2 linked regions of the Lonchura striata genome follow. The protein of the gene in region 2 binds, or shares a complex with, the protein of the main gene of each other region. Links are inferred from orthologs where the notes say so. Each region holds a gene or a part of one and is shown on either strand. Other genes may lie near its edges.

Region 1 (11,527 bases), on a different chromosome or scaffold from region 2:
CCAGGCTGCCTCTCCCCTCTCTGTTGGGGTTTCCTCTATTGATCAAAGGAGGGAGAGCTGCAGGATTCCCGTGTGCTCTGCTGCCAGGAGCTCCAGGGCTGCTCAGGGTCCTGCCCCTGGGCACGGAGCAGTTCCTGGGGTCAGCACTGAGCAGGGATGGGCTGGAGCACTTGGAAGCAGAGCCCACAGCAGCACAGGCCAGAAAGAGAGCCAGAAACCCTGCAGCAGTCCATTGCTACCAGGCCTAAATCCATGCAGAAAGTCAGGAGAATTTGGGTTGCATTTCCCTGTAGCCCTCACTCCCACCATTAACAGCCGGGGCCTAAAAATACACAGCCTGGGCTAAAATAACAGCATTACAGGGCTTTGGAATGCAGCCACTGAGCCAAGGCAGGGCAGCAGCCTGGCCAGCCACCTTGGAATGGCAGCAGCAGTGGGAAGCAGCTGTGCAGGACACAGGGAGCAGGTTAAAACCCTGCTGGTGGATCAGCCTGGACCAGCTTGAGGAGTCACACCCTGCTCAACGCTCAGCAGAGCCCTGTCAGCGGTACAAGGTCAGTGCCCAGACAGCTCCCACACTGCAGCCAGGCACTCTGTGGGTCCACGGCTTTGGAAGAGGAGGAGGAAGACTTTGCAGGGTGGGATCTGACCATCACCAAGCTCTCCAGGCAGCAGGGACACACCTTAGGTGGTTCCCAGGAAGGCCACACAGCTGGGAGTCATTTCAACCCTTAGCAGGGGAAAGAGACAAAGGAGAGCTGACACCAGAGAACCAGTGTGCACAGGGAAGGTTTATTCTCATCATAACACCTGGGAAGTGGTTTGGAGGAACAAAGGAATTGTCAGACTGGGAGGAAAAGCAGGTTTTTTTCCTCCCATAAACAAGATGATAGCTGTAAAGAAAACTAAACCACAACAGCTGCTCACAGTGAAGTCCACAGAATTACTCCAGCTCCACCCGCGTGCAAAACCAGCTCTTCCCATTAAATATAAGAATAAATTGCTTTTCTCTGGGACTAGAGCCAGACCAAACCCTACTAGCAGCCACTCAAAGGAAAAGAAAACAACAAAATACCCAAACAAAATATATCTTCTTAATAAAAAGCATAAACCGCTTCAGTTCTTGCAAGCACTCTGCTCACAACATCATTCCTACCCTGCTTCCCCACCCCATTCCGTGGGGCTGCAGGGCAAAAGGACCTCAAGACAGCAGCAATACAAGTGTGAAAAGGTGACCAGACAGACTGGGAGGGGACAGGTACCTGCAGACAGACACTGGCAGCCACCCACCCACTGGGGAGGGGAAACAGCCCTGCTGCAGCCTCCAGCTGAAAAACCAGGAGCTTCCCCAGAGCCAGCAGCTCCTTTTCAGGACATCTTCCAGGAAAACACTGCATGGGACAAGGGCCCCTTCTTCGGGGCAGCATCAACACTGTCAGAACAAAGAGGTAGGGCTGAGCTTGCCCCTTCTGGAAGGGTTTCCAAGGAATAACCCCCATCCCCCATTTGCTATGGCTGTACCACCCAGCACCCAGCTCATCCACAGGGTTTATTTGGGATTGGCAAAATCCTGCGGGTGGGTGAGGCTCCCCCTGCCCCAAGTGCTGGCACAGCGAGGCCACGCAGGGTGCTGGTGACAGGACCAGCCCAGGACGTGGCACCTGAGGGCTCTGCAGGACACAGCAGCAGGAAGGGGCTGCTCCTCTCCAGCTACTCTCAGAGCCTGAGGGGCAACCTGACAGCTGGGATAGGCAGAAGACACTGGGAGCCAGAGACCAAACATGCTTCACTGGGCTCCCAGCAGACAGAACTCACACGTGTGGCGTGGGCTGCCCTCAGCCCGGGTTCAGCAGAGCCTCTGAGCCCAAGGCTCCTTCTGCCAGCACCCACCTCTGCTCAGGCACGCTTTATTCACACAGGAAACCGGTTTTTTCCTCATAAAGTGCAAGAACTTTGCCTCTTACTGACTAGTCAACTAGAAGCATCACAGCCCTCACAGCGGGGAGCAGCAGGCAGGGAGCAACCCCCCCACGTTCAGGAGCTCCCAACACACCGGTCACTTCAGCAGGACCTCTGGCTCAGATATGGCCCTGTAGAGCACAAAGCCCATCTCATCAATTTCCTCTTCCAACAGCCTGGAGAACAGGTTGATTTTGGGGTTGAAATAGCAAGGCAGGACTCCTTTCTCCAGGGAAGCCACCAGCTCCTCAAGCAGCTGCTGGAACCTGTCAGCAAGGCTCTCCTCTGCCCAGTCCACAGCAGTGTCACTGAGGTGCAGGATGACATGGGCCATGGGGCTGCCCCCCAGTTTGTGCAGGCTGGGCTGGCTCTTGCAGATGCTGTTGAGGATGCGCAGGCAGAGCTGCCGAGCCCCGGCGTCACCAGCGTCCAGCTCCTTCACCCTCGAGACCTCCGCCCTGTAAAAACTCTCCAGCCAGAGGTTTTCCACCAGTCCTTCAGGAGGAACAGCCAGAAGAACCTTGTCCTCCATTTCCACCACTGGGAAGAGGGTGATGCTCAGATCAACCTGATCATGTTTGACTTCCAGCTTCAGCTCCCGGGAGGCCACCACAGGGTGGATGGCACAGCCCAGCAGGCCACCGATGGCAGGCCAGTTGATGGAGGCCACCAGCAGCTTGTGGAGGGTCTCGTTGATCACGCTGGACGAGAGGTACCGGCCCACCATGAACCTGTCCCAGGGGCTGCACCCACGAGGGAAGTAGCCCAGATCGATCCTCTTGATCATCCAGTACTGGGGGCTCCTCACCACGGTGTCCTCTCCCGAGATGAGGCTCCAGAGCCCGGCGTCGAGGACCACCGGGAGCATGAGGTGGATGTGGTCAGCTGCCAGGACCTCGAGGCCATCGAGCAGGGCTCCGCTGAGGAAGAGGCGGCCAAAGGGCAGCTCCGGGCACTTGCTCCTCAGGAAGTTCTGCAGCTGGGTGCAGATGCTCCTGGCCAGCTGTGGGACGAGGGACACTTGGATCTCGGGCACGGCCAGCTGGCTGCTGTGTGAGAGGAGCTTCTCCTGCAGCGTGAGACAGCGCAGGGGGCTGGGCTTGACCTGAGGAGCCCCCAGAGAGGCAGAGAAGCCCCTGGGATCTGTGGGAAGGGAAAGGAGAAGTCACAGCTCTGAGCACATCATCTGAAAGCCTCAGCAGCAGAGGGGAAGGCATGAGTTGGGTGCCCAGCTCTCAGCCCACCCCTCTGGAGGTGACACCGACCTCAGCAAGGGCCCCCATTGAGCTCACTGATGTTAACAGCACTTCTCAGCCATGCAGAGCCCAAACCAACCCCAAATCTGGCTGTTCCCAGCCTCACTCCTCAGCCAGAGATGGGAACCAGGCAAGGGACTTGCTGCCAGGGTCAGAGAACCACAGAATACACTGAGTTGGAAAGGACCCACGAAAATCATCCAGTCCAACTCCTGGCCCTGCACAGACACCCCAACAATCCCACCCTGTGCCTGAGAGCAGTGTCCAAATGCTCCTGCAGCTCTGGCAGCCTTGGGGGCACAACCATTCCCTGGGGAGCCTGGGCAGTGCCCAGCACCCTCTGGGGGAAGAATCTTTTTCCTAATATCCAACCTAAACCCTCCCTGACACAGCTGCTGCTGTTCCCTCATGTCCTGTCAGTGGTCACCAGAGAGATCAGTGCCTGCCCCTCGCATGAGGATCCTACAGACAATCCTGCTCTGGGTCCATTATCTCAGGACATGCCCTGGACTGAACTGGGCCAGTTTCCCACTTGGAAAAGCTCCATCTCCATGGGCAGCTGGACAAGGCAGCCTTTGTTTGCAGCAGCTCCTGAGCACACCTTCCTGCAGGCACAGCTGACCCAGAAAACTAGCACAGCCAACGCTGCTCCAGAGGAAACAAACCCCAACACCCTCTGCCAGGCCACTCCGGATGTCACCAGAGGTCCTGTTTCCGCTGGCATTGCCTAAAAAGGGGCCGTGGCTTGGGAGCCTCCCAGCAGGGCAGGCTCAGTGGGCTCGGCTTTCCGACAGCGAGCTAAAAATAACGTGGAGCTCCCGGAGCACACCAAGGTGATCCTCCTGGGCACCAGGAACCTCACCTGGCACCAGAGGCCGAGCTGGAGAGAGCAGAGGCTCACTGAGATCTTCCCTTCTCTGCTTCTTGGGGGGTTTTGGTGTTGTCTTGATCAATGCCAAGTCCTGCCAGCTCTCCTCCAGGGATTTCTGCTCAGCTTTGGGGTCGCCCTCATCCCGAGGGCTGGTGGCTCGGTCGATCAGCTGGAGGGAAGGAAAAGCCAAGAGGACAAGATGTTATCTTTGTTTTCCATGAATTACAGGTGAGGCGACAGCCCCACTCAAGGCTTCTGCTCAGAAAAACACCCAGTTTTGGGGGCCATGAGTGTGCACATCATCTTCCTGCAGGTTTTACATGGAAAACAGATTCCCAAATACAATTTAGGTCCCAGGTGCCTTTTGGGATGGGATACTGTATGCAAAATGCTCCAGGCAAACAGAACATGCATACATGGTCCCACAGGATGGAAGCAGGCAGCTCCATGTCCACGGCACTGCTTCCAGCACCCGTGGCATTTGTGCCACGTGCAAGGAACCAGCTCAGGAGAGAACATAAAGAATTTGGGACACATCTTGCCCCACCACACTGGAACCAACCCAGCCCTCCTGAGCATCTCCTGGTGCTCTATTCCCAGACCCAGCCTTACCCTCTTGACAGCCAGCGTGGCGATGGCCAGCACGGCCGCGCCGCTGACGCCCAGCACCAGCCTGGCGTTGGCCAGCAGCACATCGAACACGCTGCCCAGCCCGTCGAGGACAGCGCCCAGCCCGCCGCTCTCCTGCCGCCGGCCCCGCTGCTGCCAAAACGCCGCCATGGTCGCCCTGCGGAGAACAGGAGAGTCACCCCGGGCTGGGGGACCTGTCACCCCGGGACAGGCACAGCCGCAGGGTGGGATGGTTTGGGGAACAAAGGGTTCCGCCGGCCCGCTCTCCTCCGGGATAAAGGCTCCCGCCGGCGGCGGCGGGACGGCTGGGTGCGGCGAGGGAGCAAGGGTCACCGGGGGAAGGGACACCCCGGGGAGGGACACCCGGGGAAGGGACACCCCCGGGAAAAAAGGGACGGACACCCCAGGGAAGGGACACCGCAAGGAGGGAGGGACACCGCAGGGAAGAAGGGACACCGAAGGGAAGGGACACCCAGGGAAGGAAGGGACACCCCCGGGGAAGGAAAGGACGGACACCGAAGGGAAGGGACACCGCGGGGAAGGGAGGGACACCCCGGGGAAGGAAACATCCCGGGGAAGGAAGGGACACCCGCTCCTCACCCAGCCCTACCGCAAAGCCTCGCGGGGCACCGGGGCGATACCGCGGCCCGCGGGAAGGGAGCCCCCCCCCGACCCTACTGACGGAGGGGAGGCGGCACCAGAACCAGAACCAGCACCGGGACCGGCACCGGCACCAGAACCAGAACCGGGACCGGACCGGGCCGGGCCGGGCCCGGCGCTGCCCGCGCGCGCCCCCGCGCCGCGCTCCGCGCGCGCTCCCGCCGCGGCCCCGGCCAATGGGAGCGCGCGGCGGCGCGGCCCCGCCCACAGCGCGCGGAAGTGGCGCCAGGCGCCGCGCGCGTCACGGCCGGGGCGGGCGCGGGCGGGGCCTGGCGGGGCGCGGCACCGCGCGCCGCCCCCCGCGCTTCCGCCATGGCGGCCACCGGCGTCCTGCCCTTCGTCCGCGGCGTCGATCTCAGCGGCAACGACTTCAAGGTGCGGGGCGGCGGGAGCGGGGCACAGCCCGGCCCGCAGCGCCCCAGCGGGCCCGGGCCCCGCGGGGTTGTCAGGCCTGGCTCGGCCCCCGGGGCAGGGGAAGCCCGGCCCCGGCCCCGCCCGGGGTGGGTGACCTGGGGCAGTCCCGGTCCCGGCGCTGTGGGCGCTGCGGGGGCGATCCCTGACCCACATCGAACCGCTGGGGTTGAGCAACCCGGCCCTCAGCCCAGGGGGTCCCAGGGAGATCGGAGATCCCCGAGCCTCCAGCTCCCGGTCCCATAGGACCGGGCGATCCCAGCTCCCGGTCCCGTAGAACTGAGCGATCCCAGCTCCCGATCCCGTAGAACTGAGCGATCCCAGCTCCCGATCCCGTAGAACTGAGCGATCCCAGCTCCCGATCCCGTAGGACCGGGCGATCCCAGCTCCCGGTCCCGTAGAACTGGGCGATCTCAGCTCCCGGTCCCGTAGAACTGGGCGATCCCAGCTCCCGGTCCCGTAGAACTGGGCGATCTCAGCTCCCGATCCCATCGGACTGGGCGATCCGTCCCAGTCCCATAGGACTGGGCGATCCCAGCTCCCGATCCTGTAGGACTGGGTGATCCGTCCCAATCCCATAGGACTGGGCGATCCCAGCTCCCGCTCCCGTAGGACTGGGCGATCCCAGCTCCCGGTTCCGTAGAACTGGGCGATCCCAGCTCCCGCTCCCATAGGACCGGGCGATCCCAGCTCCCAGTCCCGTAGGACTGGGTTTCCATGGCCCCCAGCTCCCAGGCCCCTAGGACGGGGTGATCCCAGCCCTCTAATTCCCAATTTTATGGGACTGCTTCATCCCAACCCCACAGCTCCCAGTCCCTTAGGACTGGGTCATCGTGACCCCACACTTTCCAGCCCATAGGACTGCACGATCCCAGACCTCCCATGACCACAGAGCCTCAATCAGACTGAGGTCCCCAGATCCTCATCCCGTGGGACAGGTGTTTCCTCACCCTCTTCCTCCTCCTCCTCCTCGCAGGGCGGGTACTTCCCGGAGCATGTGAAGGCGATGACCAGCCTGCGCTGGCTGAAGCTGAACCGCACGGGGCTCTGTTACCTGCCCGAGGAGCTCGCTGCCCTCCAGAAGCTGGTGAGCCCCGTGTTCTGGGATGGAATGGGGCTCCCCTATCCCGCTGGGACCGTAGGATCCCACGGGAGCCTGTTCCCTGCCAGCCTCGTGGCTCAGCAGCGGGTGCTCCAGTGTCTAATAATAGCACTGAGCTGCAATGTGTGGTTGAAATGGGATGCAGGAGCTGTCAGGAGTGGGTTTGGAGTGGGCTTGCTCTCAGTTTCACCTTGTTTTCCTAGAAAACCAGATTAAAAACCACGCTTAGATCCTCTACCCTGTAGTAGAAGGGAAGGGTGATGGTTACAGTGGGGACAATCAAGGGTTTGGGGGCTTTTTTTCCTTCTTCTTTGCTAAAGTATGTAAAAAGCAGGAGCTGGCAGCTGTCTGGCTTTGTTTTTCGGGTGGTTCACCCAGGCCCTTGCTGGAGTCAAGGCTCAGCTTGGCTTTGGTGGTGTCCACAGCACATCAGGGACCTCATCCTGTCCGTGTCACACAAACTGAGTGCTTTAATCGCTGCCAGGGAATCCCTCAGTGCCACTCCTGCCAGCCCTGCCAGGTGCTCGGGGGCCACAGCAAGACTGAAATCCTGGCATCCCACCCACAGCCTGCCAATGCCGTGTGTTCCTGAGCAGGCAACAGCCGGGCTGGTGATGCTCAGAGGAAAACATTTCCCCAGGGGAATTCCTCCCACCCCAGCAGTGCCCACGTCTGCCCGTTCCCAAGGACTGGGATCTGTTTGTGTGGGCATCCCAGAGCACCCCAAACCCCACGGCAGGGCTGAGGTGTGCAGGGGATGAGGGATGTGGAGGCAGCGCAGGCACACTGGGCCAACCAACCAGTTTGAGACTGGGAGTGTCCCAGCAGCTCTGTGGGTGACAAGTCCCCAACTCTCCTGGGATGGAGGAGCCTCCACATCAATGTTGGGGCACAGCCTTTGCCCTGCACAGCCCCAGCTCCTCTCTCTGCTCACTGGGGCTTGTCTGGGACTTCCCTGCAGGAACACCTCTCCGTGAGCCACAACAGCCTCACCACGCTCCATGGAGAGCTCTCCGGCCTGCCCTGCCTCCGGGTGAGTGTCCCCCTCCTGCCTCAGGGGTCCCCAGGCACCTCTGGGATCTGAGGGCACACCAAGATCATACCTGGGCACCCTGGGGGCTCCGCAGGCAGCTGCATTCCTGCCTCTCTCCCCTCTGCAGGCAATTGTGGCTCGTGCAAACAGCCTGAAGAACTCGGGAGTCCCTGATGACATTTTCCAGCTGGATGACCTCTCGGTGCTGGTGGGTGCAGATTCTTCTCAGCTTATACAGGAGCCAGCTCAGACTCCTGGGTCCCTTTGCTGCACCGTGGTGGCTCCTTGTGTTCCTTGGGAGCAGCAGTCGCAAGCCCATGGCTGAGCTCCAGGGAAGCTGGCTGTCGGCAGGGTGACCCTCTGGCAATGTCTCCTTTAAAGGCTGATGCCATGGAAGGGCTCCCTGGGTTCCCTGTGTGCTGGTCCAGCTCCCTGGAGGTGTGGGTGGTGGTGGCTGGGTGACAACTGCTTTGTGCTCCCCCTTTCCCAGGACCTGAGCTACAACCAGCTCACAGAGTGTCCCAGGGAGCTGGAGAATGCCAAGAACATGCTGGTCCTTAACCTTGGCCACAACAGGTGGGTTCAGGCTAGAATAACCATCTCCCCATCCTGGCCATGGCCACATTTTGCTCTGGGTCCTGTTCTCTGCCCCTCCTCGAGGGAGATCCGGGGCTGGTGCAGATCCTAGGCACTCCTGAATTTCCCCACATCCCTGCAGCATCGACACCATCCCCAACCAGCTCTTCATCAACCTGACGGACCTGCTCTACCTGGACCTGAGCGACAACAAGCTGGAGAGTCTCCCACCACAGATGAGGCGCCTGGTGCACCTGCAGACCCTCATCCTCAACAACAACCCCCTCCTGCATGCGCAGCTGCGGTACGGCCCCGCTCCCCGGGCTGCCTCCCAGCCTGGCAGGGCTGGCACTGAGCTCCCTGCTCCATCCTGACACTCCCTCTGCCCTGTGGCTCTCCCTGGTCCTCAGGCAGCTCCCGGCCATGACGGCCCTGCAGACCCTCCACCTCCGCAACACCCAGCGCACGCAGAGCAACCTGCCCACCAGCCTCGAGGCCCTGGTGAACCTGGCAGGTAGGGCTGGGGCATCCAGCCCCACAGAGCCCTCCAGGGGCTCTCCCAACCCCAGTGTTGGTCTGGCTGGTGGTGTCACCCCGTTGTTTCTGTCCCCAGATGTGGACCTGTCCTGCAATGACCTCAGCCGTGTCCCTGAGTGTCTCTACACCCTGGGCAGCCTGCGGCGCCTCAACCTCAGCAGCAACCAGATCACGGAACTGTCCCTCTGCATCGACCAGTGGACCCAGCTGGAGACCCTCAACCTGTCCCGCAACCAGCTCACCTCCTTACCTGTATGTACCTGCCCTTTTGTGCCATCCCTGCTCGTGGTTCCATGGTTCTCCCTCACCCCACCATCTCCCCCTTCCCCAGTCAGCCATCTGTAAGCTGACCAAGCTGAAGAAGATGTACCTGAACTCCAACAAGCTGGACTTTGATGGGATCCCCTCGGGCATTGGCAAGCTCACCAACCTTGAGGAGTTCATGGCAGCCAACAACAACCTGGAGCTCATCCCTGAGAGCCTGTGCAGGTAAGGAACACACCACTGGATCTGCTGTGTCCCCAGGAGGGAGCACAGAGGTTCTGTGGTCACAGGTCACCCTGGGCTGGCCTGTCACCAGCATCGCCGTCCCACAGGTGCTCCAAGCTGAGGAAGTTGGTGCTGAACAAGAACCGCCTGGTGACGCTGCCAGAGGCCATCCACTTCCTGACAGATGTGGAGGTGGGCACCCAGTGCTTCTCTGCCTTGGGCTGGCTCCACCACAGCCCCAGCACCTCCCTGGGACCCCAGGGCTGTAGGGTGGGCTGGATGAGGTGAGGGCAGGGAAGCTCAGGGCCAGTACCTGCAATCTGCCACATGTCAGCCCAGGCAGGCCATGGATTCCCTCCACATCCCCTCAGGTCTCCATCCCATGCCACATTCCAAATATCCCTGTGAGCACGAACTTCACCGAGGTCTCTGTGCCCTCCCTGGCAGATCCTGGACGTGCGCGAGAACCCCAACCTGGTGATGCCCCCGAAGCCGGCGGATCGCTCCTCGGAGTGGTACAACATCGACTTCTCCCTGCAGAACCAGCTCCGCCTGGCCGGAGCCTCCCCCGCCACCGTCGCCGCTGCCGCCGCGGGTACGCGTGCAGGGAGGGGGGCACGCGGTCCCTCCCTGCCCTGGCACGGACCTGGCAGAGGCTGGGGGGTGAGCCCTGCTCCGTGGGGTGCCCCACGGGCGGCGTGGCCGCCTCTCACCCCGTCCCTGTGTCCCCAGGGAGTGGCACCAAGGACCCGCTGGCCCGCAAGATGCGGCTCCGGCGGCGCAAGGACTCTGCCCAGGATGACCAGGCCAAGCAGGTGCTGAAGGGGATGTCGGATGTGGCCCAGGAGAAGAATAAGAAGATAGAGGTAGGGTCTGGGGTGGGAGAAGGGCCCTGAGGGCATCACAGTGTCCCTGGCCTACCTTGGCTGCCAGCTGGGTTCTGGTTGTCCCTAATCTGACCTGTTCCTGTCCCACAGGAGAGTGGGGAGGCGAAGGCGCCGGATCTGAAGACACGGCGCTGGGACCAGGGCCTGGAGAAGCCACAGCTGGACTACTCGGAGTTCTTCAGCGAGGACGTGGGGCAGCTGCCCGGCCTCTGTGTCTGGCAGATCGAGAACTTCGTGCCCACGCTGGTGGACGAGGCTTTCCACGGCAAGTTCTACGAAGCCGACTGCTACATCGTGCTCAAGGTAACCCGGGAGGACCAAAGGTCCCCTGCATCCCCTGCCAGGAGCTGCAGCCATCCCATCTCACACCCTTGTCCTTCCCAGACCTTCCTGGATGAGAACGGTTCCCTGAACTGGGAGATCTACTACTGGATCGGGCAGGAGGCCACACTGGACAAGAAGGCCTGTTCCGCCATCCACGCCGTCAACCTCCGCAACTACCTGGGGGCTGAGTGCCGCAGCATCCGGGAGGAGATGGGGGATGAAAGCGAAGAGTTCCTTCAGGTGAGGCCAAGTCCCAGCTCCCCTGTAACCCCCGACCCCTCCTGTCCCAGCCTCACCCCTCCATGCCCCCAGGTCTTCGACAATGACATCTCCTACATCGAGGGTGGCACAGCCAGTGGTTTCTTCACCGTAGAGGACACGCAGTACGTCACCAGGTACAGCTGGGGACAGGGGCTGGGGCGATGATTGGAGCAGGCAGTGCCCCATGTCCCACCACGGCTGTCCCTTCCCCAGGCTCTACCGTGTCTATGGGAAGAAGAATGTCAAGCTGGAGCCGGTGGCACTGAAAGGGACATCACTGGACCCCCGGTGAGTGGCCAGGGGACAGAGGGACCTTACAGAAAGTTCAGCAGGATCCACCTGAGACACTATAGCTGCAGTTCTGTGGTGCAAATGGGCTATGCCAGCACCTTTCTACAAGAACATGGGTTCAAACATTGGTGCCCTGCAGGGATCCCCAGGATGGGGAGGATGCCCAGCACTCCCCATTCTCTCCTGACCCCTCTCACCTCTCTCCTCCAGGTTTGTTTTCCTCCTGGACCATGGCCTCAA
Region 2 (11,596 bases):
TTCCTGCAGGGCATTCCCCATTTACTTGAATTGAGAGCTCTACTGAATAAGTCAGTGAGAGACAAAAGTCACAGGAACTACCTCCACATAATACAGCTTATGTACAAGCAATAAGGAATGCCAGAACTGGCACAGCTCAGTCAAAATTCTTCAGAAATCCTGCATTTACAGCATATCTAACTGCAGACGAGTGCCAAACAACAGCGAATACAACAGTGATTAGCAGATGTTTTCTTCCTCAGTACATCAATTCCCAAAGCCCTCCAATAATTCACTTAGGAAAATAATGCCTCATCTAAGTAGAAACAAGTTACAGACTCTCAGTTACATCATGGAACTGTGGTATTTGAAGATTCCCATTTGCAAGCCAGATATACTGACCTCACATAGTACTGTGTATACTGCTATATTAATGACTTGCAGTAAAGTAAATCAAAACCAACTTGCATATTCAAATTTTAAAAGTTCTAAACAACAGTATTATTAAAACAAACCCAAACCCTAAATCTCTAAGTTAGTCAACTTTCTGGCTACTACACAAACAAATCTTTTCCAAAAACTACACAGGCATTTTTTCCTCCAGATTGTGAAAAACAAATGCCTGCACTGTATGTTTTAATACTCTTCCCCTCCATCTTCCTGAAAATATGTTTTCTTTGCACTGTGCCTCCTGGACAACATACAAGATTCACCTGGTCTAATTAAAATACCAGTTTTCCAAGAAAAACAACTGCCAATTACAAGATGAACAGAACAAGGTCCTTGCAGTAAAGCATCAAAACAAAACCAGAAAAGAGAAGCACAAGACTTCTTTATCCACATCATTCTACAACTGTGAATTCTGTGCAGACTCTCTGCTCTTCCAAGATAACCAGGCATTTGCAAACAATAAAATTAGTATCTTCTAAATCGTGTTTAATAATGTTTTCATATTAAGAATCATAAAATGCTAAAATGCAGGATCAAATTATTAGACCTATCATTCTATTTTAATTCATATAAGGTCTACAGATAGAAAAAGTGAAAATGCCATCCTTTCAGTCACAGAAACTTTCAAGACCCAAAAAGTTCAGCTGTTCAGAAACAGGGGGCCCATCAGAGCAAAGAAACAGCACAACAATAAGTGCTGTTTGCACTATATCATATTAACAGCAACATTTATATTAATTAGCTGTTTACATTTACCAGACATGTCAACCTCACTTTGCTGCTTGTCTGAAACAAACAGAACAGTCAGGGCATGACTTGACAGGAGCAAAGAATGGCAAAAAAAGGAAAACTGTTACACCCAAAACCAGAGACTGTAAATGTCAGATATGAAAGCAAATTTAAAAAAAAAAAACAAATTAAATCAGGAAGTTTGCAAAACATCTGGGAGAAAAAGCAAACTGTCCCCAGCCAGCATGGAAGCAATGCTCTGGTTACATCCTCTATTCAAATGTAGATACTAATGGGTTTTTGCATCTGCTTCAATTGCCACAAAGATCCTCGGACAAAACAACAACAAAAAAAATCAAAACAAATAAACAAAACACCACAAAAATCAAACTAACAACTCAGCAAGAGAGGCAGGAGGAAGACATGGCTGTGCCTGGCATGGGTTTTTCCTTGTTGCTTAGTACAAACCAGAGTTTCCTTCACCTCAACTGGCTTTTTGCCAACACAATGTAGGCTACACTGAATGAGCTAAGTGGCTTGAATTTCTGTTCCCCTGCCAGGGAAAGTCACAGAAGCTCTGCAGAGCACCTGAAGTTCCAGACCAAGGTGCCAGCCTCTCTCAGGATGCTTTGATAGCATCTGCCGAATTCATTTCCTTATCCCACTAGCCAGGACTGTCCATTACCTTCCCGTTGCTGTCAACTCCTTAACAGCCAAATCAGCATTCTTCCAACTATTTATCTTACCAGAACATAAATATCCACATATCCAGGCTGTGGATACATATATACATATCCACATGCTCAGGCTGTGACCTCAGATCAAGAAACCTTCCACCTTGCAATAACAAGTGGTTTAGCATCAGCATCAAACATACACAAAACAGAAAAAAAAAAAGGAATAAAAGTCACACTCGTCTGTGAGTCAATCCCAGGGCAACATTTAGCAGAACTACACCTCCCCATTTAAAGACTCAAAATGGCATTGGCAGAAGACTGAGCAGAAGAACTCCATAAATGTGCACAGGAAAGGTCACTCCAAAATCTGACCTGTCAATTCCATCAGTTGCTACATCAATTTTGCTACAATGTCTCCACTTCAGTTAACACTAACAAGTGCAAATAAAGCCCACAAAGTGATTTTATGTTAGTATTAGATTTTTGTTACAAAGCTGACACTAAAGTTCGTATAAAACTAGGCTGACGACTACTAAAAATCAAAAACATATTCAAAAAATTAAGGGCACAAAAAATAAATAAAGACAATTCATTTTTACCGACTTCTAGGCAGATATTTTGTTGTCTGGCTGGTTTTCTTAAATTTATTCTAAATCTTATGACCACTTTGGTAGTGTAGGCATTTAATTTTTGTGATACCACCTATCCACACAAAAGGCCATCGTTAATTACTTTTCTTCCCCTTGTCTTCTTTACTGTAGTTTTAATGTGTTTAGTTGAGGCACTTCAATACCACAATATTACCCCTTAAAATACAGAGTACAAAGCACTTGTATAAATCAGAATACTGAGTATTACAACATTACTGAACTAATATTTTTATATCATATTGCTAACCTGGACACTTTTTTCTTTTTGCACTTTAGTCATACAGTTCTAAAAATGGAACTGGAATACTGACTTGGGGAAAAAATAGAACACCTATCTGGAAATGGCAGAAAAACCCTGAAACAGTGAAGAAAAATGGGCAGTTTGAAGGTGTCCTCTGACTACAGCAGAGTTCCCAGTCTTCTTAAATGACTCTATGCTAGGATACAGAAATAACTTACACAATATTAATGGGGAGAATGAGAAGGAATTCTCATATGACTGAATGGCAGGAAAACCACTACAAGTGCAAGAGGCCATCTAGATGTGCAAAATTTACTGAGAAACAATTTGCAATTAGCACCAAAATGTATCTAGAAAGAGGAAAAATTAAAGCATTTCAATTGCTCAGGGCACAAGGGAGGTAGGAAATGAATACCAAACAACAGAGGTGGGGGGAAGGGAACATGGAAAACAGAAAATATTCACAGCAGAGTTAAGGCTTATAAACAGCTTCTAAACAACCTAGAAAAGAAAGAAATAACTTAATGCACAGAATGAGAAGCAGAGAAAGACCTAAGCACAAAAGAACAAAAGGGTAGAGAAGAGAGAGAAAGATAAACAGAAAACTACTTAAAAAAGCACTTTTCCTCTCCTTGCTGAATATGTAAAAAGGTCATTTAAAAAAAGCAAGTGGCAAATGGATGCAAAAAAGCATAACTTAATTAACAGAGGATTACAGAAACCTTAACTGGCAGCATTTGCTTCCTACAAGAAAAATGGAGGTGAAAAATTCAAGACTGTTTATTGTGAACATTATTCAAAGACAGCATATGCCAGTGGGCTACAGATACATCAAGTGTGTGAACAAACTTAAAGGCCACACAGCAGTTCACAAAGAAACATTACTGTCTAAATGGCACATGTTAAATAAAAGGAAGAAAGCTACCAGCAGCAGAACTATCAGCTCTAAGCCCATATGTGACACATCTCTAAAAATCTGGTCTCCAATAAACTGACTCCAAATAAATAGATTAATAATATTTTATTTAAACTAAAACTAATTGCATAAAATAAGTATCTACAGAATTATTATGTCAGTAAAGACAATTTTTTCTTCCAACAACCCTGACTAAAACAAAAAAAACCCCAAGATACAGCTTGCTAGATATTTTGGTATATATTTTTCTGGAGTCCACAGAGGACTTTGTTTTGGGATGATAGGAAATTTCATGCTAATTTCTGGGGGTTCATAAATATAATGGATACATGATATTGATATAGATGGGGAGCCCCGAATAGATATTGATATTGATGGGGAGACTACTGAAGGCAAACACATGTCAATACTGTTTTAACTGTCAGTATTTACTTATGGAAAGTATTTACACCTAGGAAAAGATAACTAGGACAGAGTTGTTTAAAAGTATTTTTAAAAAATGCCACTTCATAAAGTGAAACTGGAAAAAGTACTTTTTTAATCTTACATAGAAAAATGCCATTGCATTTACACGTACAGCTGGTGTTTTTAGTTATCAATTAAAATCCTGAGTACACAGTACTTGGTACTGAAGTCTTCGGTGAGCATGCTACTGTCAAGGAGCACAGCACATTCAATACATATTTAAATATCACAGAAACAAAACGAGCGCTCCATTAGCTTCATCTTCTACTCCCTTGCGACTGCTGCAGCTCTGGTCAGGCACGTTCAGCTGCCAAAAGTTCTGCTGAAGAGCAGGATCCCATTTGAAGAGATAGGAGAGGATCTGAGCTATCTTCGAGCCCAGGAGCACTACCAGGCTCACAAGCACGTGTTGCAACTGTTGCAGCCAACAGTCGCTGGCCTCGCCTCTCACCTTCACTCCCCATCGCCAGCTAAGACAAAGAGTCCAAACGGCACAAGAACTCGGGGAAAGGACACCCATCCACGCCCGCAAGATGCCGTCCCGCTACCACATCCCCTCCGTCCGGCCCGGCCCTCGCTGCACGGCCGCTGTCGAGGAAGGGAAGTCAGGGCCGAGTAGCGACGGCGATCACGGTGACAGCACCGCCGCGCCCCCCGGGGATACGGGGCACCCGCTGCCGCGGCCCCGCGGAGCTGCCGGGCCCGAGAAGCGCCCGAGGGCGGGCGGCGCAGAGGCGCTCCCGGCGCAGCCGGGGCCGAGGCGGCGGAGCGGCCGAGGGCGTGCGGGGGAACGCGGGCACCGAGAGCGCCCCGCCCGCCTCGCCCGTCGCGCTCCCCCGTCGCGCTCCCCCGTCGCGCTCCCCCGTCGCGCTCCCCCGTCGCGCTCCCCCGTCGCGCTCCCCCGTCGCGCTCCCCCGTCGCGCTCCCCCGTCGCGCTCCCCCGTCGCGCTCCCCCGTCGCGCTCCCCCGTCGCGCTCCCCCGTCGCGCTCCCCCGTCGCGCTCCCCCGTCGCGCTCCCCCGTCGCGCTCCCCCGTCGCGCTCCCCCGTCGCGCTCCCCCGTCGCGCTCCCCCGTCGCGCTCCCCCGTCGTGCTCCCCCGTGCCCTTGGCGGCGGCGGAAGCGCGATGGGCAGCCCGACCTTGCCCTCGGGGCGGTGCCCGCCCGCGGCCCCGGCCCGGCGCGGCCCGCCTCACCTGCGTGCCCACCACCACGATCTGCGGCAGCTGGATGATGTCGGCCCCCACCGTGTTGAACACGTCCTGCAGCTTGTTGATGACGGGGATCAGCGCCTCCATAGCGGCGGGCGAAGGGACGGGCCGGGCGGGACGTCGGCGGTCGATGGACGCGACGGGCACCGGCGGCTCCCTCAGCCGCCCCCTGCGCCTGCCGCCATCGGCGCCGGCCCCCGCGCACGGCCCGGCCCCGGCAGCCCCCGCGCGCCCGCCGCGCGCGCCGCCGCCGCCGCCGGGCACCATGGGAGTTGTAGGCCGTGCGGCTTGGCCGCGCCGCGCCCCGCTCGGACGGCGCCGCGGCCGCCGGCGTTCGAGGGGTGTTGTCTGAGGCGTCATTGCCGGGTTTTGTCACACAGAAACACGGACTCGGCCGGGCTGGAAAAGGCCTCTGGGATACTTGGGTCCAGCCTGTGATCGAACAGCCGCATGTCAATTGAGTGCTGCTTCCAGTCCTTCCTTACACACCTCCAGAGATGGTGACTCCAGCACCTCCCTGGGCAGCCCATTCCACTCTTTATGTGAAGAAATTCTTCCTAATGTCCAACTTGAACCTCCCCCGGCACAGTTTAAGACAATGTGCTCTTGTCCTGTCACTGACACCAGGGAGAAGAGTCCCCAGGAAACAGCTGTAGAGAGCGACGAGGTCGCCCCTGAGCCTCCTCCAGTCTGAAAAACGACAATCGCTCGTTTTAAAATTTTACAAGCTTAATAGTAATAAAATGATTCTAAAAATAGAGTAATAAGAATTTAGACAGAGTTAGGACAATAAAAGGTAATAAAAAGCAAAGAATTATGAACGTTCAGATGCTTTCCTCTTGAAAGCGTGTCTCGCTGACAAAGGATTAACCCTTAAAAGCAGCAGCCTGTTGCATATTCATATATCTCATACATGATGCATAAATTCTTTTTAAACAAAGTGTGTTCTCTGGTTATCATCAACTCCTTCCCCTTAATCCTGGTGTCTCCTTAAAGATGGAGAGAAGGTGGAAGGAGGTTTGTCTTTCCCAATAAGGAGGCAGTAACTCTTAGGTGTCTTGTTGCCCTTATCTCTGTGCAAAGAATTTCTTGATTATTTCATCCCTTTCTTGAACTAGTTAAAAAAATATCTTACATTGCATACTTTCCATTATAACATTATGTTATAACCTAAAACTGTATCTACCACATGACTTAAAAAGGATTAATGTAGTACTACAAAATGTGTTATGCGTTACATGTTATGCGTTCCAACATAACATATATAGTATTGAACTTAATATTTGCAAAGAGCCAGTAATTTAGAGCTTTTCCTGCCAGAAGAGCAGGAAAATTAAGCTGCTGGGGCAGGGAAGAGGCATAATGGAGGTAGTTTCTGGGGAAGAACAGAACTGGAGATCTGTTCCTCCAAAGTGCCCAGTGAAAGGAATATTCTTCCATTTCTGTTCATATAGTGAGAATTGCAATGGACACATGTGGTACAGCTATATTTATTCTGTTTGCTTTCTTGTATATGTTTGTTGTTTTGCTGTGAGGCTCTTGGATAATCATCTGAAATTCTCCAACTTAGATGTGTAATTACAGGTTAGGTTGAGGTATCTTAGGAAGTGGGTATTGTAATGTAGGTGAAACCGGTGGAAAGAAATTATGATGTCTGACTCCAATTCAGAAGGTTGAATGATTTCTTTATTATAACTATACTATAATATATTAATATACTATTTAAAGGAGATACTAAAATTACATATCTACTTTTTCTAACTATCATATCTAACTCACTAACAACTTGTGACCCTCTCTCTTGAGACTTCAGACACAGGTGGATTGGATTAGCCATCAGGCTCAAACAATCCTCACCAGAATCCAATCAAGCAATCACCCCAGGTAAACAATTATCCAAACACATTCTACATGAGAAAAACAAGGAACAGAAATAGAAATTGTTTTCTCTTTCTTTCCTCTGTAGTCCTCTATAAAAAATCCTGAAAGAGAGAAGAACGTGACTGCCACAAGGGGGGAACTGTGTGAGATCTAATAATCAGCTGTGTTATAAAAAGATAGAATGAAACCAGACTTGTGATGTGAGATCACAACAAATAAGCTGTCTCATCTTCAAATGTCTTTCCTTTGAGTGCATTTTCTGGAAGATAAATTACGAATATGCTGGCACTATGTTAATATGGACTTTGTTCTTTCTTGTAAGCAACAGAGTAAAAAGGCTTCTGAAAATTTCAAGTTTTGGATGGCATTAGAATTCTTATTCTTGTTCTATACAAATTAGTCTTTTCCAGTCTTCACATCTTGAAACACTCAAATGTCAACTGAAAGAACATGGATATGTGTTCTTATTTGTATATCTTTTCAGCAAAGTTTCTCATTCTTGGCCAAGCAATTTCACACTCTCAGAGGGATAATATTTTGTGATAAAAGCATAAAGATGGCTAAGCAAATTGAAACACTCCAAAATTCAGTGTATTCAGCACAGAGAGAAGCAGTTAATGCATGTAAAATTTTGGGAAGAAGGTTCTGAATGACTGGTGAAGGCTTCCTGTCATACAAACATTATCCAGTGATTTCACTCATTAGCTCTCAGCCTGCAGCCGATGGCTCCCAGAGATCATTAACACCAAAAAAGTCATTTGGCATCCATCTCTCCAGCTTCCAGGACAAAAGGAAGTGTTTCCCTGACATGACAAATAATCTTTTTAAAAGGCTTGCTATTCCCTGTTAAGGCTGATCTCCTTCCTTGAGGTGAGACAAGGCGAGGCAAGGCAAGGCAAGACAAAGCAAAGGGAAGGGGAAGGGGAAGGGGAAGGGGAAGGGGAAGGGGAAGGGGAAGGGGAAGGGGAAGGAATATCCCAGTTGCACAGGACAAGAAGCTGCTGGCTCCCAATGAAATGGTTAACACCAGCTTATTTCTCTATGCAAATGCAAATCTCTTTTCTCCTACCACTTTTATTTTGTCGTATGATTTCATGGACATCCCTGTGAAATGGACAAAGTGAAACCTGGTTTCTGTCTTAATTTAGACCAGAAGTGGGACATCTCAGCAAGAATGTAAAACTGGAAGAGGGTCAGAGAGGGACAATAAGGATGATGAAAGGTGTGGAACAGCTTCTCTATCAAAACCAACTAAGAAAGCCAAGAATGATCACTCTACAAAGATATGGCACAGGGTAGCAAGGACCAAAGGTCTGTGTATTCATTAGCAACCTGGAGTGGGTGAAAGAGGATCAGGTTTCTTCACTCTCCCTTCCAATAGAGACATTTTGGGAATATATAATGAACATAAGAGCCAGCTCAGAACAAGACAAAGACAGTAACCCCTTGCAGGAGCTTTGGTGACCTTTTGAGCTCCTTACCAAAGGACGCTGTATACAGTAAAATTTTAAATTAGTTCAGATGTTTCATGGATTAGTTTAAGAAGGAGAAATGCATTGCATATATAAAAACAGACCTGTAGGGATCAAATCTAGCTGGGGCTGTTTCTGAGCTGGCAATGTTTAGGAGCTGCAAGAGCAGCATGCAGAAGCACTGCATGTCCTCGCCCGCTAGCCTGCCCCACTATGGCTATTCTTAGAATTTTATCAGTGTAATATTTCAAGGAGAACACAGAAGAAATACCAGCTGCTGAACCAATCTGAGACAAGCCAGCTTGCCCAGCAGAGATGTTGAAAGGTCTGTCAAGGGCTGTATGCACCAATGGAGAAACACAGTGGAGATGGAGGAAGTGAATTAAGGAAGAAATGCAAGATGGAAATACTAAAGAAGATAAAAAGCTAAGAAGCATCAGAATGATGATACATTTAACATATTTTAAATTTCTGGCTAAAAATTGAGAGCCAGAAATACCTCTGCTATGAAGTTTCATGGCCTGCACCAACAGTTACCTCAGCCTTGCTGAGGACTGTGACAAAGCAATAAATATTTTAACACTCAATGATTGTCTGTAGCTTTAACTCTAAATTTCCATGGCTGACTTACATTGTACTGAGCAAGAAACTCAAAGATCTGATAAAGAACATAGTAGTCAGACTGGTTATTGAAGTTAATAGGCATGAGGACATAGGAAGTGCCACACCAAATGTGACCTGATATCCATCTACTTCAGGACCTCATCTAAGACCTTCCAGCATCAGCCTTCTGGGGAAAATATAAAAATGCAGTAATAAGATCATTCAAAAACTGTATGTTAAATTATTCTGATAGTGCTGCAAGATCTGAAGTAGACAGTTCAATATTTCTTCCATGTTTCTGCAAACTAGGTTGCTTTATTTAATATATAGTAGGAGTTTGTCTCATCACACTAAATTCTTGGCTCCAATGACAACCTCTGGTGGTAAATTTCATTATCTAGTTATATATAATGAAAAAATTCAATTTGATATGAGTTTTGTATTTGTCATCTTCCAATTTCCATATAAGCCTCCTTGGTTTTATGTTTGACATCAGGAGAACATTTCCAGACTTTTTTCTCCATGATATGAATTCCTTTTTAGTTTTGCATCATCATTTGCTTCCATTTTTCTTAGACAGCTGAGTCTTTTTTATTGGCACACTGACAGTAATGACAAGTCACTTGCCATTTAGCCCATTAATGCCAGACAATGAAACCACAAATGAGCACCTCAGCAAAGCATTTTTCCTGACATCCTCTTTTGTCTAGAGAATTATTACTGAAATATATCAAGTATGTAATGTAGCAGTTGTGCCTCATACATTCATACTGCTTTATGCTGCAAAAACACTATTAGCAAAATATTTATATAAATTATTCCTTACTAATATCACGTTTTGGAACCATGCAGTGCAGAAATTATATGGGTCTGGCAGAGATCAGATTTTATGTGAAGTCAAATTGAATGGTGTTTCTGTATTCTCCAGAGCAACCTTGTCACAGATGTAACTGTAACAGTTTCTTACACCAGGCACCATTGGAAGATGAGATAAATAAATTCCTGAAATCCCTTGACAGAATGACATTTCGTTTGGCTACTCTACACAGATTTCCCAGGCTGAGAGATTCTAAATCTTGTTCTTTTTTTTCTTTTCCAGAAGCAACAGAAGTCAGAGTGAGAAATCCATATTTAAGGAATTCTGTTGACTTGGCAAAGCAAGCTCTCTTATGTGCTTCAGCTGGATGTAAGAAACCATAGTGCTGATAGGAATTCCTGAGTGTGGGGAACATGTTACCTGTGCTGACACCCAGCGTCTGACAAAACAAAGTTATCCTGGGGCAGGGATGCAACTTTGCTGGACATTATGAACTAAAAAACAGAGAGTTCCTTTTATTTTCTTAATCTGAATACTGGTAAATTATTTATTAAATTCCTCTGGTATTTGGGGTATAAGACAACTTCTGGTAAAACTTGCTCGTGAAACTTAAAGCAGGTTTCAAGTTGAGGGAGAGGAGAACAGAGGTCAAGAGCCACAAGGAAAGCACAACATTTGAACCTCATAAATCAGTAACAAAGCTCAAGAACTTTGGTATTTGGAAGACATTAGCTTTTCCCATGGGGCCAATAGAGATAAAAACTTAGGCTGGAGATGAAAGTAATCTCTGTATCCTTGTGGATTCCTGTACAGCAGTGCTCTCTCCTTGCTGCAACTGGGGTGGTCACTTGAAATTACAAACACAATACTGAAACAATTGCTTCAGTAAAATATTTTCAGCACCCCAATGGTTTGCAGTTCAATTTTCAGGTAAAGACTCTTTATGTTAAAAGACCGAGGTTTTGGGAATAAAGGCAATAACCTCCTATCTACTATCCAGTAAGTAACTTTAATTGCTAAACAAAATGCACACATAGCATTCAAGTGAAGCAACAAAAACAGAAAAGAAAATATCCCAACCAAACCTTACCTCAACCAAAACTTGCTGGTGTTCAGAGGAACTGAGCTTGTATCTTCTACTTCTGGATCTAGTAAAGAAGATAATCTCCTGTAGTCTTTTTAAGGTAAAATAGTATGCCAAGAGGAGCATTTTTTATTTTTATGATACACCTTTTCTTGTGCATGCTGCTTATGATTGGCAAAATTTTAAGTTGGCAATGTAACAATTGAGCATATGTGGCTTACAACATCACACCCTGTCCATAAGAGTAATGATAGCAGATACTTCATGTCTCACCTGCCATGCTTTGCTTTGTGCTGCAGATTGGTCTTGAGGCATAGGGATGCAGGTCTTTCCATGTGAAACATAACCGTAGGATGTACTTTAGCAACTTAATGGCATTCAGTTCATAGGGCAAACTTAGTGCTAGTTGGAGATCAACTTCCTA

The links.
Region 1: the proteins of DNM1L (region 2) and MIEF2 are in contact, whole or in part, in a cryo-EM structure (PDB 5WP9), measured with the Homo sapiens proteins. The link is inferred for Lonchura striata from reciprocal best matches to the Homo sapiens genes DNM1L and MIEF2. Residues at the interface, in NP_036192.2 of Homo sapiens: Asp190, Met191, Ala192, Thr193, Ser194, Leu197, Lys198, Ile199, Arg201, Glu202, Gly223, Thr224, Asp225, Asp228, Arg233, Val234; in NP_631901.2 of Homo sapiens: Val213, Asp214, Thr215, Val216, Arg218, Arg226, Leu230, Arg235, Val245, Gly246, Tyr248.

What each region holds. Positions count from the first base shown.
Region 1 is NC_134618.1:15,738,984-15,750,510, reverse strand, and holds MIEF2 (mitochondrial dynamics protein MID49), read right to left. Parts: upstream 5,422-11,527; 5' UTR 5,327-5,421; exon of another isoform or gene 5,317-5,326; intron 4,874-5,316; 5' UTR 4,867-4,873; coding exon 4,699-4,866; intron 4,256-4,698; coding exon 4,078-4,255; intron 3,103-4,077; coding exon 2,057-3,102; 3' UTR 774-2,056; downstream 1-773. Other genes in the region: FLII (protein flightless-1 homolog), read left to right, coding at 5,689-5,751, 6,764-6,874, 7,851-7,922, 8,050-8,130, 8,413-8,498, 8,641-8,802, 8,909-9,012, 9,112-9,287 and 9 more. UniProt on the Homo sapiens protein: Mitochondrial outer membrane protein involved in the regulation of mitochondrial organization.
Region 2 is NC_134607.1:17,417,776-17,429,371, forward strand, and holds the start of DNM1L (dynamin-1-like protein), read right to left. Parts: upstream 5,523-11,596; 5' UTR 5,403-5,522; coding exon 5,301-5,402; intron 1-5,300. UniProt on the Homo sapiens protein: Functions in mitochondrial and peroxisomal division.